2 linked regions of the Danio rerio genome follow. The protein of the gene in region 1 purifies or fractionates together with the protein of each later gene. This does not show direct contact. Links are inferred from orthologs where the notes say so. Each region holds a gene or a part of one and is shown on either strand. Other genes may lie near its edges.

Region 1 (4,482 bases):
GATGTTGATATCTAAAAAAAAATGGCACGATAAAAGATCAAAGATTCTGTTTCAGTTGAGGGGAATCGAAATCCTTTTTTTGATTGGTGACTTCCCTAATTAACCCAATTTGCCTAGTTAAATATTTAACCTAGCTAAGCCTTTAAATTGCACTTTAAGTTGCACTCTAAATACAAGTATCTTGCTAAATTATAATTCAAATATTATTTAAATAAAGAAATTAATTATTAAAAATATTATGTTTAAAATCTCTTTTAAATATCACTTGGGGGATATCTGAAAAGTAATTACAATTTCACAGGAAATTTCTTTTATTTAATGAACGTTTTCATTTTTTTATGAACGGTATCTTCCAAGTATTTTTACAATTAAAAAAACACTGCAATCTTATAAATTATTATGATTTCATGCCGACTGGAAAAATTAATGACAAAACAACTTAATTATTACCAGAGATCAACTCCTTCGTCATATTTTCGGGCACCGTATAAAAGTTCTGGTGCTCTGTACCATCTGAAAAATAACACAAATGTTTTAGGCATATGATTTCGTATTTATCTTAAACAGACTCAAGTAAACTCACCTGGTGGCCACTTGGTGACTGTAAAGACGATCTCCTTCATTGGAAAAAAGCCTTGCCAGACCAAAGTCAGCGATTTTCAGATGACCAGTCGAGCTGATCAGAAGGTTTGCAGGCTTCAGATCCTATATACACACATACACAAACATAAAGCATAGTACCTGAAACACACCCAAGATGTTGAACACGGGAACACTAGCTCACCCTATGCATGATGGAGTTCTCGTGGCAGAAAGCCACTCCTTTCAGCAGCATCATCATATAACTTTTGACCTGGGATGCGGTGAGAGGACGCTGGGAATTCCTTATGACTTCTGACAGATCTGATAACATGTACTCGAACACCAGCACAAAGCCTGTGCCGTGAGGGAAGACGTCCTTCAGCTTCACAACCTATACAGACGATACAAACATTTATGAAATTGAAAGGATAACGTATACAGTTGAAAAGTCTAAATTATTATACCTGATGTGAATTTTTTTTCCACTTTCAAATATTTCCCAAATGATGTTTAATGCCGAGTTCAGACTGCATGATTTTCAAAGTAGTCGTGTCACAGATGTTTTCACACGGCATGACTATCTGGGCTAGCGTTTTGTCACTGCTTTGTTTACACTGCAAGATGGTACGGCGACAGTATTCGTTTTCACAGTATTTCCTATAGTATTTTTTCTTCTGGAAAAAGTCTTATTTGTTTTATTTTGGCTAGAATAAAAGCAGTTTTTAATTTTTTAAAAAACTTTTAAGGTCAAAATTAGTAGCAATGTATTTTTTGATTGTCTACAGCAGGGGTCACCAATCTCGGTCCTGGAGGGCCGGTAAGTTGGAGCTAAACCCTGCAGAAACACCAGCCTCCAGGAACAAGTTTGGTGACCACTGGTCTACAGAATAAACATTGATTTAAAATGACATGCCTAATTACCTTAATTTGCCTAATTAACATAGTTAAGACTTTTAATGTCACTTTAAGCTGAATACTAGTATCCTGAAAAATATGTACTAAAATATTATGTACTGTCATCATGGAAAATATAAAATAAATCAGTTATTGGAAAAGAGTTATAAAAAGTATTATGTTTAGAAATGTGTTGAAAAAGTTCTTGTTTTCGTTAAACAGAAATTGGGGGGAAAATATAATGGGGGGAACTATTCATCAACTGTACATCTGTTATATTTATTATATTACATGCCTAACATAAATCTGCTTCGGTTGATTCTCTGTTTATCAATCTTACAATTCAAAGCCCACTTCCACTACATACCCAAACAAAAATCATAACCCTAACCCTATATTAATAATAGATGAGTGAACATAAGGGAGGGTTTATCTACTTGTATTTGTTATGTATGTATATATCATGATATAACGTAAAACAGATTAAGAATGTGCAAAATATAGTATATTCTATAATATATAGAAATGGTGCAGTGAGACAGGGTGCTCTGTTAGAGCAAAGATATTCTTCAAATCTTCTTGAAATTGTTGTTTCATTGAGTAAAATGTCAATAATCTGGGAAGAAATAATGAATACAGAGATTATGCTATTGTTATTTTGATAATCAAGAGTAATTCTTCCTAAAACAGACACGAAGGCATCATTCACATCATGGTTTGCTGTGCACTAATTTCAACATTTAATGTAATAATTTAAACATTTATTGCAATAATTTTTTTATGATTGTTTTAAAATTATTGGTGGTTCATTCCGCTGTGGCGACACCTGATAAATAAAGGGACTAACGTTAACCCGAAGAAAAAATGAATGAATAGTTATCATTTACTAAGCGATTCACAGAATCTGAACTTGGTACGACACGGTTTTATGCAAAATAGATGCTCTTCATTCTCCACTGCACAGGTTTGAGAAATGAGTAATGATCATATCTCACATATTGGTTGTCCTCAATCTCTTGCAGGGCTTTAATTTCTCTTAACGCCTGGTTCGGGATGCCATCTTCAAGTCTTCGCAGGGCCACTTTTTTCAAAGCCACTGTCTCTCCTGTCTGAAAACATCAACAGATGAAGTGCACATAGGCCTTTTTATTAGAAAACGGCCTTTTAACATAAAATAAATGAAGATATACATGACACAACCTCAATGTGTTTGGCTTTGAAAACAATCCCGTGAGCTCCTTCCCCAATCCGGCCAAGAATACTATACTGGTCCATTCCGATGCTAACAGTTACACGACTAGCTGGCTAGCAAAACAGAAATAAAAATCTGTTTTATGTCTCAATTAACACACTGACATATATTCCACGCCGTTATTTGACAAAGACAAAATAAAAAGATAAGTTAAAACAATCACTTGCGAGCTGAATGAGCATTTATTGCGAGAAATAACACGATGCTCCGCTGAGGCGACTTGCAGTTGTCATGGAGATTGATTCTGTACGGCAAGCAAATGGAGACAAACTGTATTAGAATGAGAGCGCACTGTGATATAGAACTCATACATTAAAACAAATATTTTTACAATAAAAATATAAATTTAGCATATATTTTAAATATTAGGCTCTTCTAATACGTTAGAACTGGTAAGGCATAAAAAAGCCGTCACGTGGATCGTGTTACTTTTCCCATCGCTGGTCTATGTATACCTAAGTTACCATACTGATCTGCGTTTTAGTTTGTTAGCCGATTTATTGCTTCGTATATATCAGGTGACAGATGCGATTTCCTAGTGTTCAAAATTTAAGTCATTGCGTAGTATATATTACATTATATACGGGTTGTTGAATTCTCAAGTCTTATTGCCTGACTAATGTCTGCGAAATCTGACTCTTCTCTGAAAAACCTGTTCTGATGAAGCTGCAATCAAATAAATTTGCAAACTTACTCTACATAAAGCAAAATACGACATCAGCATAAATGATAAGTGACCTTTTAAACCTGTATTTGTAGAGGGAGTAAACAATTCAATCTGCAAAATGTATGAGACTTACTTTAATGTTGTACAAGAAGTTTGCTTTGAATATTCCACTTTAAAGACTATATGAACATAATATAAAAAAACCAATAATGAATAAATAACAAGCTGACAAAATATATAAACAACAAAATTCAATAGTAATGGCGTAGGCTACGTAATGGGACAATTATGTAAACACAATTTCTGTAGGCCAGTTAGACAAAAAAATAAAATTCAAAGCAAGTTTCTAATGCAACAACATTAAAGTACACAATTCCCATATACGGTGCAAATTAATTTAAATTGTGTCCCCCTTACAAACAGAGTTCACCTATAAACCTATTTACGCTGCTGTATATATTTAGCCAGCAGCTAGCTCACTACAACTCTCATATGGTAGCCCACTGAAGCAAAGTAAGGCTGCACCCGGTAAGTATCTGGATGGGAGACCACATGGCAAAGCTAACTTGCTGGTGGATGTGGTGTTAGAGAGACCAGCAGGGGGTGCTCAACCTGGGGTCTGTGTGGGTCCTAATGCCCCAGTATATTGATGGGGACTCTATACTGCTCAGTGAGTGCCGTCTTTCAGGTGGAGACGTTTAACTGAGGTCCTGACTCTGTCTCCGTGGCATCCTTGCCAAACTTTCCTCTGTCCATCATGGCCTCCTAACATCCCCATATCATAATTGGCTTCATCACTTTGTCTTCTCTCCTCCAATCAGCTGGTGTGTGGTCTGGCGCAATATGGCTGCCGTCGCGTCATCCAGGTGGATGCTGCACACTAGTGGTGGATGAGGAGAAAAATGTGTAAAGCGCGTTGAGTGTCCAGAATAGCGCTATATACATGTTAGGAATAATTATATGATATATCTTGCTCTATAAAGAAAGTTTGCTAAATGATTTAATAGTAGCTTCTTCAGAACAGATTTTTCAGCTAAGTGAGTCAGATTTTGATACAACGCCGTTATTTTCAGGTAGAGCACATCTG
Region 2 (4,355 bases), on another chromosome or scaffold:
TTTAGTTTTTACTTGTACGAGAAAAAAACAGCTTTGATGTTCTTTTGTGTTTCACAGTTAATTTTGCAGTGTAATTTTTACATTTACATATACAAAACCATAATGCATGCACTGTTAATTTTGCCTTCATCTTAGCTTTGTTACATTTATCTATGCTTGAAGTTTGCTTATTACATGTTCAGCACGATTCACTCCCCTACAGAATCATCCCTATCAATCAAAATTAAGACATTCAGTAACACTATAGGGATTCATTTTCACTATTAACTAGTTGGCCATTAGCATGCATGTTAAGATAGTGGCTGCTAATTAGTACTTATAAACCACGTGTTCTGCATGATCTTATTCTACGTCCCTAATCCAACGCAACACCTAAACTACTAAAGGAGCAAACTAGAAGTTTAGTAAAGCAAAAGTCAAAATGGTTTGCTAAGAGCAAGAACTGAACCTTAAAATAAAGTGTGACCAAAAATTCTTTCCAAGTATAACAATTAAGCTAAAGTTGGTTTTATATTCGCACATTCACTCATTTTAGAATAGAAAGCACTTGTGGTGCACTACTTCGAATGGTTGGTCTGAAATAGCATGTATACATCTTCAAATCAAAATGAGCACTACTTCACTGACTGTGAACAATGTTGTACTTTGACTGTCTTTGGCAGCTAATAGGATTTCACTGCTTCGAATTTGAAAAGATTACTTTTTTGAAACTATAGTAAGAAGGTTACAGTTTAAATGTCCAAATATAAACCAGCTTTACCTCAATATAACAAAGTATATCGCAAAATATATATTGTAAATATTTTCAAACAATATCGAAATATATTGCAGAAAAACAATAATCTAGTATCTATCTATCTATCTATCTATCTATCTATCTATCTATCTATCTATCTATCTATCTATCTATCTATCTATCTATCTATCTATCTATCTATCTATCTATCTATCTATCGTACAGTAGAGAGATGAGTTCTAAACTAATAAAAATATCTGATTTTACATTTCAAATTCAGTCTAAATAACAGCTCTAAGAAGATGTGTGATTGAAACAATACAGTGCAAGATATACAACTGCATGAACACGGAATGGTAAGATGTTCACTTGTAAATTAGAGATTTTAATATTGGTTCAGACTTTTTTTTATTAAGGAAAAAAAGATAATATAAAATACAACATAGAAAAGGTGATACCATTAAATCAATTGTTATATTTACTGAAACATAAATAGGGCAGCGTGGGGCACAAAGTAACATGGGGTTAAATTTAACACAAAGTTTTAAGGTATTTGCTCAGGGTTGACCATGGCATGCTTCCAAGGTTTTCACCACAGTGCCGGCAGACGTCTTCCTGCCAATTATTGAAAAAGTTCGGCGAAATTTGGATGAGAAACACAGGAGAAACCACTTTTGTAGCATAAAAGCATTTTTTATTATAGTCGAAATATATATATATATATATATATATATATATATATATATATATATATATATATATATATATATATATATATATATTTTTTTTTTTTTTTTTTTTTTTTTTTTTTTAATCTGTGAAAGTATGTATGCAAAATCTTATATTGTTGTGATTACAGTCTTCTAGGCTAAAAGATGAAACAATTTTAAAAGATGTAATAAACACACAGTGACTTCTAGCCAGTTTTGAGGAAAACACGACACAGTGGGGTTAGTTGAAACAGGGTGTTACAATTAAGCCACACACTGTTGGGTACCAATTAAACTAACAAAATAATTGTTGAATTTTGAATGAAATGTTAAGAACTTTTTAAATAAAAATGTTTTTTAATTGAAAAATGTTAATGTATAAATTAATAATAATGCAAATAAATCCAAATGTGTTTATCCAATAAATAAATTAACATACTGTGCTATGTAGAATAAAAAAGAGTCAATTACTGAGGAAATAAAGCTACTATTTAAAGTAAACTGAATTTAAATTAATTGTGTGAAATCTGCCTTTATAAGCATGTGTTACAATTAACCCCCTGTCTGTTACAACTTGCCCCACAGGTTGGATAAATGGTAACATTTTTACTCCTGGCACTTTGGCAATACTGCACAGAAACCATGGGTCATAATTTCAGTGCTCATTTGTAGGAGAGGCATGTGTGTTATTAGTAAAAAAATATAAAAAAGGTTTGTCTAACCCTATTACTTTATTACTTGACCAAAACAAAAAATAGTTACTAAATTGTGACTATTAGATTTAACTTATATATACTATTTAAAGTTTTAGTTCTTTTAATACTGAATTATACCCTATTCAAATGTTATGTTATTCCTGACAAACTCCAAATACTCATTATATTACCATGGTAAACGCGTAAAAACATGCTATTACTATGAGTGATTTTGCTTAATAAATAAACCCCAGCTATCGTATAATTAGAAACTTTTTTATTGACAAAACAATCGTTCAATTGAGGTAAAGTTGGTTTTAATTTTACACCATTGGACTTTCTCCTTAATAATATGATTTCAAAACTCTAAATAGTGAAATCATATTAGCAGTCAACGACTATTAAAGTATAACATTGTTCACAGGCGATTAAACAGTTTTGTAGTCAAACTTGCATGTGATTTCAGACTAAATACTCAAAGTACCATGGTAAACAATACAGGCAGAATGTCACAAGTTGCCACTGAAAGAATCTACAAATATAAAACCAACTTTACCTCAATAACCGATAAAATCTTCGTTAAAGTGAAATGACACATCGTCCACGCGTGAATATTCTGTTGTAATTCAGTGCTACGTCTTCAATGTGCATTATAATGTTCATCTTATATGCCTTCAAAAGGTTTGTATTTCATTACGAACGCGGGCGAATGCTTACTGTAAATCTCTTATTATTATTTGCAGAGATGTCAGTGTTTCCAGAACGTTCCAACAACTTTGAGACGGAGCGCGCGCACGGCTGAGTGCAGCGTGATGACACAACTCTCTTATAAATGTTTCTGTGCAATAAAACGTGTGAAAAGTGCTGTAAAAGAGCAAAAGCTTACCGCAGTGAGAAGAAAATACACCTCAGAGCAGCGCAGCAACAACTTTCACAACAACACAAGATCAATCTCTGCAACTTCCGGGTAAAGGTCAATGGTCATCGCAGACAACTACAAAATAAAAGTCAGAGTCAAGGTCGCTGCAATGACTGAGGGGACTTTTATATTCCATAATATAAATGCACATTCAACAGTTTAATTGATTTTATTTTTTTTCTTCCAAAATTAAAAATGTGTATGACAGTAATTTCTGTTTAATATTTTAATATATCAATTAAATTCACATTTCTATCAATATTAAAACAATTTATATTAACAATATATGATTACATATGATAAAAATATGAAATTAATAATATAAATAAATATTTTTATATATCCGTATAAACATAGTTTATATTTAATATTTATTTGATTTGTTTGAACCTATTTACATAGAACAAATTTAATGACATAATTGTTTTCTACATTCAATTATATATTAAATAATAAATATTGAAACTGAATTAAATGTATATCAATGTAATAAAATAAATATAAAATTTTTTAAGTAGGGCTATATAACATTATACTTTTGTAATAAACTATATACTTTTGTTTCTGATGTTTTAACAATTACATGTATTCTTAAAGAATTTAAAACAATTACTGATGATATTTAAGATTTCATATCACCTACATATTTATTAAATTTAATTTCATTATTATTTAGTAATTTTACCACTGTACATGAAATATTTTCTAGTTGTTTTTAATATACTAATCTAATATTAATATTAATTAATATATCAATTTATGTTTTTTTTTACCAAATCACTTATGAATGATTTAATATTTAATATATATATATATATATATATATATATATATATATATATATATATATATATATATATATATATATATATATATATATATATATATATATATATATAAAAAACTGAAACGCACAAAAATATCAAATTACATTTATTATTGATGCATTTCTTTTTGATAAGCAAATTTTCTTTTCTTTTTTTCTCAGTCTAAAGAAACTTTACAATATAAAGAAACATACAAAGGACATATTTACCTACAACAAGACACCTAAGGCCCTAAAAACACAGATCCGAGCTATACCCTACAATGAAATACAAAGCAAACCCAATGGGACAGAGACTGCTTCATATTGAATACTGTCAGGTCGCAAGAAAGGACGATGAAAAGTACAGGGGAAACTCTTGTCATTCGCCTTCCTGCTCCAAAATACACGTTTGCCGCTCAAACCTCTTTCTAATGTTACAAGGTTATATACACATCACAACAGAAGTGCAGAGATGGTCAACAGAACA

The links.
Region 2: the proteins of cdk20 (region 1) and fkbp8 purify together in Homo sapiens (affinity purification with mass spectrometry; 5 studies listed by BioGRID and IntAct, with this or other methods). This does not show direct contact. The link is inferred for Danio rerio from reciprocal best matches to the Homo sapiens genes CDK20 and FKBP8.

What each region holds. Positions count from the first base shown.
Region 1 is NC_133183.1:9,036,093-9,040,574, forward strand, and holds the start of cdk20 (cyclin-dependent kinase 20), read right to left. Parts: upstream 2,975-4,482; 5' UTR 2,911-2,974; coding exon of another isoform or gene 2,892-2,910; 5' UTR 2,778-2,891; coding exon of another isoform or gene 2,677-2,777; intron 2,586-2,676; coding exon of another isoform or gene 2,472-2,585; intron 974-2,471; coding exon of another isoform or gene 914-973; coding exon 785-913; intron 706-784; coding exon 584-705; intron 514-583; coding exon 451-513; intron 1-450. UniProt on the Homo sapiens protein: Required for high-level Shh responses in the developing neural tube.
Region 2 is NC_133197.1:20,760,076-20,764,430, forward strand, and holds the start of fkbp8 (peptidyl-prolyl cis-trans isomerase FKBP8), read right to left. Parts: upstream 3,099-4,355; 5' UTR 3,028-3,098; intron 1-3,027. UniProt on the Homo sapiens protein: Constitutively inactive PPiase, which becomes active when bound to calmodulin and calcium. Seems to act as a chaperone for BCL2, targets it to the mitochondria and modulates its phosphorylation state.